2 linked regions of the Callithrix jacchus genome follow. The protein of the gene in region 1 interacts with the protein of each later gene in a pairwise test. Links are inferred from orthologs where the notes say so. Each region holds a gene or a part of one and is shown on either strand. Other genes may lie near its edges.

Region 1 (4,139 bases):
GTCCCAGGGGATTCAGTGGCCCTGGGACCCCCTCAGGTCCTCAGTGCCAAGTGTCCCCAGTCCAGGGACAGCAGCCTCCTTAGCCACTGCTGCAGGATTGGGAGCAGATGTCCTTCTGGCTTAAGGGCACTGCTCCCTGTGTCAGGGCCTGAGTAACCGCCCCCACCTGTAGACATCCAGCAGGTGGGGGCTCAGTGCAGGGCCTCCTTCCTGCCCCATGTGGTGGGGCTGACCAGAGCCAGGAGGACTTGTTGGGTGGATGTCCTGGGCTGCCCCTAGTTCTGGAGCCCCTGGGGGCTTCTCCTTGCCCTTTGGGGGTCACCATCTCAGCAGGAAATACCTGAACCTCCCCTCAAGCAGCCCCCCAACATCCCAAGCCTCTGGGGAATGGTAAACAGGGAGGGGAGGGAGGGCTGTTGCAGCCCCTCAGCCAGTGGGAGTCCAAGGGCCACGGGAGCCCCCAGCCACTGCGTAGTCAGCCCCGGGCTGTGGGAACTCTCAGTTTGCTTGTGGTTTTGATCCACATGGCCCCCAGATTGCCCTTCTAGGGTATGGGGATCCAAGCTCAGGCTGAGAGCCAACGTTCGTCTAAAAGGCCAGAGCTGCTGTCCCTGTCCCCAGGGACAGAGGGGCTGTGGGCTTGCAGGCCCAGCAACTGAAACTCTGGGGTAAAGGCTCAGCCGTGCCCTGCAGACACTATGGGGCAGAGCTCAGACCTGTGCATCTGTCTCTTGCAAACCACTGTTCTCTCTGTTTTATGACCCACCCCCGTAACACCTCCGGGTTTAAACAACGTGCATCCTTGTGCGGGTCCCCTCCCTGCAGCCGGAGAACCTGCTCCTGGCCAGCAAGTGCAAAGGGGCTGCAGTGAAGCTGGCGGACTTCGGCCTGGCTATCGAGGTGCAGGGGGACCAGCAGGCATGGTTTGGTGAGTGCCAGGGGCAGGAGGTGTTGGCTGGCAGTCGGCAGAGCAAGCAGTGGTGCCGACAGCCCCTCGTGGCCTCCTCTCTCCAGGGTTCGCTGGCACACCAGGCTACCTGTCCCCTGAGGTCCTTCGCAAAGAGGCATATGGCAAGCCCGTGGACATCTGGGCATGTGGTGAGGCCTGGCCCGAGTGGGGGTGGGGCGGGCCTACATCCTGGAGCATGCAGTGACCAGCACACGTTGCTCTGATCTGGGTTTATCTGCGTCAGGCCTGCCCTTGAGCTGCCCTGGAGGGGGTCTGCCTACACAGCCGGGAGCCCCCTTCCCACCCAGGTTAGAATTGCTCACATACCCTGGTGCACCCCAGTGCTCGCCTGCGCTCAGCAGAGGTCTGGTCCAGAAGTGTGATGGGAGGACGGGAGTGGAGAGGAGAGGTCAGGGGCTGTCGGGCATGGGCAGGGCCACCTCCTTGGGCCAGGGTCACCTACCACAGAGGTGGGGGAGCAGCAGAGGGGGTTGGTGTCACCGCCATCCCTGTGATAGTGTGGGTGTGGGGCAGGGTATGGGGACTGGCTGTGCCTTTCTGCCCCAGTGTCTGCTGCACAGGTGGGGGCAAAGGAATGCTAGGGACCCCAGTGCCCTCCCAGGGCCACAGGAGCCAGGCAGTGAGGGCACAGGGCATGGGCTCCGTGGATGGTGGCATCCTGTGAGTGGCCAGGGTGCTCACAGGCCCTGTCCACAGGGGTGATCCTGTACATCCTGCTCGTGGGCTACCCACCCTTCTGGGACGAGGACCAGCACAAGCTGTACCAGCAGATCAAGGCCGGCGCCTATGACGTGAGTGCACCAGCCCCGCTCTGAGTGCTCCCTTCCTCTGGGTGTGGCTGGGTGAGGGCAGCATGGGAAGAGGCCAGGAGTGAGGTGAAGCCACCTATGGCCAGGTCCTGGGTCCTGCTGTCCCAGACTCATGGCCAGAGATGAAGCCCCTTGGATAATTCTGGCCCCTGCCCAAGAGGGGGCTTCAGGCCTGGCATGGGCACTGTTTCCTTCTGCAGTTCCCATCCCCCGAGTGGGACACTGTCACTCCTGAAGCCAAAAACCTCATCAACCAGATGCTAACCATCAACCCTGCCAAGCGCATCACAGCCCATGAGGCCCTGAAGCACCCGTGGGTCTGCGTGAGTCGCCCTTGATGCCCGCAGCGGGGAGGGGACTCCTAGTGGAGATGGCCTCGGACCACTCCCCTGGCGAGGGCCCCCAGAGGGTCCTATTCCTGACATCCAAGACCTCCCCTGGGTCCCCTGGTGCTCCTTGTGGCCTCTGGCTTGGAATGCACCGGCACGTTTGTGAGGCCTGGGGCTTGGAGGACATTGGAGGGTAGCAGTCGTCCCTTCCTCCCAACTGCAGTCCTGTCTGTGAGAGACAGAGTGGGCGAGGCAAGGGAAGTCCCAGGCAGGTGGGGACACACAGCCCTTGCTGCAATGGTGGCTGATCACGTGGGTACCCTTGGGTACTGCAAACCTTGCTGCCCCGGCCTCTCCCCTGGGCCTCGGGCTCCTGGCTGCCATGTGACCACCCTTTCCCCACAGCAACGCTCCACGGTAGCTTCTATGATGCACAGACAAGAGACAGTGGAGTGTCTGAAAAAGTTCAATGCCAGAAGAAAGCTCAAGGTAAGGCCCTGGCCCCTAGTCTCCGGCACTGCCATGCTTTCCTGTGTCCCCCTGGGCTGGAGTGGTGGGGCCTTGGAGGGGTCCGGGCAGACCGAGGGGCTGCTGCTACCCCCAGGACTGAGTGTTAGCAAGTCCCAGACCAGATGCATCAGGTGAACTCAGTCCAGAGGTGCCCTGGAGCAGGCGCGGCCCCTCCTAGTCGTCTGTGCCACCTCGGAGCACCCCTTGGAGGGATTGTCTTAAAGCACTTGTTGCGGGCTCTGCAGGCAGCACATGTCCCCTGGCAGTCACACATACGCTTTAGTACAAGTGAGTCTGAAGCTTCCGGCTCAGACAGGTTTGGGAGGGAGAGCAGAGTTGGGTGGGCTGGGGGAGGTCAGGGAGGGAGGTGGACACCAGTAGGGTATCTGACCTGCTTGCTTTGGCCAGGGCTGGCTCAGCCGCACCTGGGCAGTCCCTCTCTGCGTGGACTCCGGGCTGGGGCTTGCTGCCTGAGTGCCCTCTGCTGGTCTCTGCGCAGTTCTCCCTGGAACCCCCAGGACTGCTGCCCTTGTTCTGAGCCTACCAGGAAAAGAAGGGAGCTGTCAGGGAACCGAACCCCAGAGGAGCTGCCGTGGTGACCAGCTGTTCTGGCAACCCCTGAGGGATCTTGAAGCAGTTAGAAGCTATAGTTGGTCCACAGGTTTAGGTCCAGGGTCTGTGTAATTCTGGAAACAGGTGATTTATTTCAGTGCGGCTGCTGGGTTCCTGGAGCTCTTGCCTCTTTGGAAGGCTGAGGTCATGTCCTACAGGTGCCCATGAGGCTGGGCGTCTGGGCAGGTGGACGGGGGTCTTATGCTGGCCAGAAGCCAGCAGAGAACACTGGCGACACAGCCTCCATTTTATCTGTGTCTCTCCCCAGGGGGCCATCCTCACCACCATGCTGGCCACACGGAATTTCTCAGGTGAGCCTTTCTTCTCCAGGGAGACAGGCGCTGGCCGCTCCCTGCAGCCCATGCAGGAGAGCACCTCCTTCCTCACCAGTTCCCCCCTCCTCCTCTGCGGCAGGCCCGCCCTTGCCCTCCGAGTCTGCCCTCGGTTCTGACACCCACTGCCCACTTGGCCCCGCTGGGCTCCCTCCTTGAGCGACACCACAGGGTCCTGCCCCACAGCCCATCACCTTCATGCGGGGTCTGTGTCCCTCCACCCCCTGAACGCGAGCATCTGTGCCACTCACTGGGGCTCGCAGCGTCGCGTGTGTCTGTTCAGGCGTCTGTCGGACATCTGTGTGGCCTCCTTGTCATCTTGAGTGCTCTGAGCAGTGTGTTTTGTGCAGGAGGTGGGCAGAGGGATGCGGGGTGATGCGGGAGGCTCAGGGGCCTCCTTCCAAGTTCTGGATGAGCTGTAGCTTCCTGCCCCGGCCGCTCAGGATGAGTGGTTGGGAAGCAAATTCTCTTGGGGGAGGGGGGTCTGTTATAGACCCCCGAGGCCCAGGGCACTGGCAGACCCATCTGGGGCATGAGGTTAGCCCCAGAGTGGAGCCGGCAGCCCAGGCCTGGACAA
Region 2 (4,700 bases), on another chromosome or scaffold:
CATGAGGTCAAATATGGTCCACAAACTGAAGGGTGTAAATGAGAAAAACAATGTTATCTTAGGCTGTTTTCTTTTAAATCTATTTCCAAAACAAAATCTCAAAAGGGTTTAGACAAGTGTCTACAACCCATTCAAATGTACTGCAAAAAACATCACTAGGTATGACTTCAGAATTGAAAACCATCTTTCCCAAATACATTTTTGACATGACATGTAATATAAATGGGGGAAAAAAGGAAGAAAAAAATTAAAAGTGCCATCCTACTTTGCCAGATGGATGGTTACTTTCCCAGATCTAAGGCAATATTAATAGCTGAGTTCTCTTGTTCCCTACCCACAATGAGGTAAACTGTTCCATGTCAGATCAGATTCAAAATACCTGTTCATCTTCTAATCAGATGGGAATGGCCATACCCAGGGCTTCCTTGACCTTGATGATTTTCTCCAAACTTAAGAAGTTGGGAGTAATGTCATCCAACTTATCACTGAGACACTTCTGTCTTCAAAATTTGACAAATAGCTCTGGAGAGTATCTTGCACCTACCCCATCCACCTCAGCTATGATACTGTATTAATCACTGAATATGAAACACAGAAACACAAACAATAGTTTTGGATTTGTTTCTTTAAAAATGACATTTGTATTAAAAGTCTTAAAATGAAGAGACAATGATTAAACGCATGAAATTAAAAATTACAATTAGTTAGAATTGGTACATCACAACAGTAAAATTTTGCTCTTTGCTTCTGGAGGAACACCCTATAACAGGTAATAAAAAAATTAAAAATAATATAAAAGGGGAGCTAGATACCTGAAAATTTAAACAAAATGAAGCAAAAAAAAAAAAAAAAAAACAAATTCATTGCAAAAGATGGAAATTACATTTTAAAGGCTGAAAATAATAAAGAAATTCACTAAACAACAGGCCCTATTGTCCTGGCTCCTTCAGAAAGATTACTGAAAGGAAACTGGGAAGTGGTTTGGGGGAATAGCAGATTGTGGGATATGGTGGGAAGTTCACAGGTTGGCACCGGCTGGAACAGCTGAGTTTTGAAGGCACTCTGCAGACACAGGGGTGCTGGGGGCCCTGAATCACATTTACAAAGTCTTTGTACTGTATTTTAAAAAGCTAGTCATTAAAATCGGTTACTGCCAACCAAAAAAACAAAAACAAAAAGGCTAAACTCATACACATACACACACACCACACACACACACCACACACATACCATAGTACACACGAAAATGTGCAGATCTGTAACATTTTTTTCACAGCTGATTAAAAAAAAATACTACCGTTCTCCCCCAGATTCCCCTTTGATACAGTAGGTAAACAAAATAGATTTTTTTTTTCCACAAATATCAGCAGACACTTTCTGGCACCCCACACTGTATTGGCATCAGTGTTAACAGTCCCAGTTCAGATGTGCAATACTTCAGATTGGATACACTGTAACAAGAATCCAACTTTGCATAGACATCCTCAGAATCGCAATCAGTCATGGGGTTGCCCTTCCAAGCTGGCAGAAAAGGAACCCGATCTTAATTTCCAGCTACTCCTGGAAAACAAGGAAAAAACAAAAGTTTCTTCCTCTCCTGCTCCTTCATGTGGTTCTCCCGGACTTCCTTCCATGTATTTAAAACTTGAAACTAGAAAAACGGTTGTTGACCAAAAAAAGAAAAAAGAAAAGAAAAACCCTTTCTACCTTCTCCCCCTCCTTTTCCTCCACACCTCTCCCCGGTTTTTTTCCCCCAGGCTGAAACTTTTGCTTGGTGAGTGTCAGGCTGCCGATACTGCGCCCTAACGGCTACTTAAACGGGGAAATATGCATCAACCAAAATCAGGGAGAAACGTACATGCTGCAAAGAGCCACATTTCCACCAGAGTATCGGCTGGGAAGGACGGGACACCCCCTCAAGCACAGGGTGGAGGCAGGGGCCGCCGGCCGCGGAGGCCAGCAGGGCTCCCAAGAAACCCTGCCCAATGCAAAGTGGTCTCCAATCTCAAAGCAAGAAAGAAATCACATTTAGAGAGTCGGATGCGTTTGGCTTTTGTGCGCAGAGCGCGGCCGGCGCGCGGCAGCCGCCTCAGAGGATCACGCAGGCCGAGCAGCAGCCCTCATCGCCGTTGGGCTGCGCCGCGTAGTTCATCTGCCGCACGATCTCCGCAAACAGCTCGTCTACCGAGGCTTTGTTTTTGGCCGACGTCTCCATGAAGGGGCAGCTCCACTCCTCAGCCAGGGCCTTGCCCTCGCCGTACGAGACCTCGCGCTCGCCCTCCAGGTCCACCTTGTTGCCCACCAGGATCATGGGCACGCGCTCGTACCGCTTCACGCGGATGATCTGGTCCCGCATGGGCTTGATGTCCTGGAAGCTCTGCTGGTTGACGAGACTGTAGACCAGGATGAAGCCCTGGCCGTTCTTGATGTACAGGTCCCGCATAGATGCGAACTGCTCGGTGCCCGCCGTGTCCAGGATCTCCAGCACCGACGGCGACGAGTCCACCTCAATCTCCTTGCGGTAGAAGTCCTCGATGGTCGGGTCGTACTTCTCGATGAAGGAGCCCGTCACGAACTGCACCGTGAGCGCGGACTTGCCCACGCCGCCCGAGCCCAGCACCACCACTTTGTACTCTCTCATGGCTCCGTCAGCGCTCCGGCCCCGACGGGGCTGCGCGCCGGGGAAGGCTGGGCTTGGCTGCTGGACTTCTTTTCCCCTTCCTCAGCTCCACAGGAAAAACCCAGGAGAGAGTAGCCCAGAGAAGAACGCAAGGCAGAAACCACCGAGCGGGGGCCGGGCGCCGGGCCGGCCGGCGGCGGCGTGTCCCTGGGGCGCGGGTCCGGGCCCCGCAGCAGTCCGCGGCGGCAGCAGCAGCAGCCCGGGCAGCGAACCGGGAGGACAATGCCCGCAGCCTGCGCGAGGCGACGGCAGAAGCTCCTCGCTGCAGCAGCCCGGGAGGGCGGTGAGGCGGTGGCGGCTGGCTGCGGAGGTGGCTGCTAATTGCGCGTCGGGCCGGGACGCGCGTGGCATGAGTCCCCACGGAACGTGCGCCCACCACCGCGGCCCATCGCGCTCTCTCCCGCAGCCTCTGCTGGGCGAGGGCTTCCTATTCGCCGCGCGCAACCCGGCCCTCCCCGCCCCGGCGAGCATGCCCAGTGCGTTCCGACCGCGCCTTGCCCGAGCGGCCGCTCCTGGTTTTCCGCGGGGCCGTGGGCGGGGCTCCGGATTTGGGTCCTGTTTTGGGAGCGGCGCGAGTCTAGGAACTGGCTAGGAGATGGGGTGTGTGTGCGAACAAGGGGGCGAGGAAAGTGCATAAGGAGCAAGCAGGCCGCTTTCTTTTACAGCTATGGGAGTGGTGCACAAGGGCGGCGGCTCTGCGAGAAGCATGTGGGCGCCGCGGGCCGCCTCAGGGATGGAGTAGGCTGTGCTTCTGCCAACTCCCGTTATCAAAGGCCCAGGGACGCCATTCACCCAGCCCCGGGCGGGCGTGTCTGGGGGCCGGAAACCCGAAGGCTTGTGGGTGCCGTGGAATGCACGCGCAGCCGGCGGAGCGTCCCTGCCCCACAGATTTTTCTAAACCGTTCGCCACAGAAACGCTACTCTGCCTTCTCTGTGCACTGCAGCCTTGGACAAAGAAAACGGGAGGTACTCCAGGCCTCAAATACTACCCCGACTAGGCAAAGGGTAGCTTGTGGTACCTGCAGCTCTCCGGGAGCAGGGTCCCTCGGGTCCTACCCATCTCCCTGCTCGGCTGCGGTCAAAACCCGGAGACCGGATCACACCCCAATCCAGAAGTCTCGTGGCCCCCACAGTTCAGGGCATGCTCAGTCGCGGAGCGGGTTTTGGGGCTTGGAAGTAGGAAGCTTTTGCACCACACACCCACACTGTAGCTCAAATTACCTCTCCGAGACTCCGCACTCATTGGTCCCGGGGCGCGAGTCTCACACTCCTATGTGTTGCTCATTGGCTGCCGCCAAGGCTCTGTCAGTTTGGGCCGCTTCATTGGCTAAAAAGTAGCCTCCGCTTGCGATTGGTTATTTTTAGAGATTGAGCGGAGAGGCAAAGGCACAGCTGTTCTTTCTCCGCTGCTCCTCCGCCCCCTGCCTCCCACTTCCCCAACCCTGGCGTTTTGAAGTAAAAGTGAAAAAGTAAGAGGCATTTAGGCGGAGAGCTCAGAACTAAATATAGTTCTTTGTTGGTGTTTTCGAGAGAGTCTGACTCCTCACTTTCCAGTCAGGACTGCCCCTTACAGGGAGCACAAAGGGCTAATTACAGGTTTTGGTCCGCAAGGGACCGCAGAGTTGCCAAGTTTTTTTGCTGGAAGTGGGAGGGGCGAGGAGCTGAAATGGGCCACTTGGAATTCGTTTCACCCAGAGGGGTTGGGGAGTGTCCAGGCTTGCCTCAGAGGAAGCGTCTCCGCTGGCGGGCCGGGCAATTGCTAGACTTGGCTGGGCAGGCGCTCCCGGGAGGTGCGAGGGAGATGCCCCGACTTGTCCGGAGTCTCCCTAGCTCCTCGACGGGGAGGGATGTCAAGACCTGTCTGCAGGCTGAGCGCGGCGGCGCACACCGCGGGTGCGGGGTGGGGAGGGTGGCGGCGGAGCTGCGTCAGCGCTGGCTCCCAGTCCTGCCTATTTTTTTTTTTTTCTTTTTAACCCGATGTCACTGCTTTCTGGTTTCACCGACCGCATCGGAGGGTGAA

The links.
Region 2: the proteins of CAMK2B (region 1) and RAP2B interact in binary tests that used the Homo sapiens proteins (3 or more experiments, as listed by UniProt). The two-hybrid records come from large-scale screens. The link is inferred for Callithrix jacchus from reciprocal best matches to the Homo sapiens genes CAMK2B and RAP2B.

The regions. Positions count from the first base shown.
Region 1 is NC_133512.1:12,319,611-12,323,749, reverse strand, and holds part of CAMK2B (calcium/calmodulin-dependent protein kinase type II subunit beta), read left to right. Parts: intron 1-825; coding exon 826-928; intron 929-1,014; coding exon 1,015-1,098; intron 1,099-1,666; coding exon 1,667-1,761; intron 1,762-1,979; coding exon 1,980-2,102; intron 2,103-2,513; coding exon 2,514-2,597; intron 2,598-3,498; coding exon 3,499-3,541; intron 3,542-4,139. UniProt on the Homo sapiens protein: Calcium/calmodulin-dependent protein kinase that functions autonomously after Ca(2+)/calmodulin-binding and autophosphorylation, and is involved in dendritic spine and synapse formation, neuronal plasticity and regulation of sarcoplasmic reticulum Ca(2+) transport in skeletal muscle.
Region 2 is NC_133518.1:32,250,209-32,254,908, forward strand, and holds RAP2B (ras-related protein Rap-2b), read right to left. Parts: upstream 3,083-4,700; 5' UTR 2,642-3,082; coding exon 2,090-2,641; 3' UTR 618-2,089; downstream 1-617. UniProt on the Homo sapiens protein: Small GTP-binding protein which cycles between a GDP-bound inactive and a GTP-bound active form. Involved in EGFR and CHRM3 signaling pathways through stimulation of PLCE1.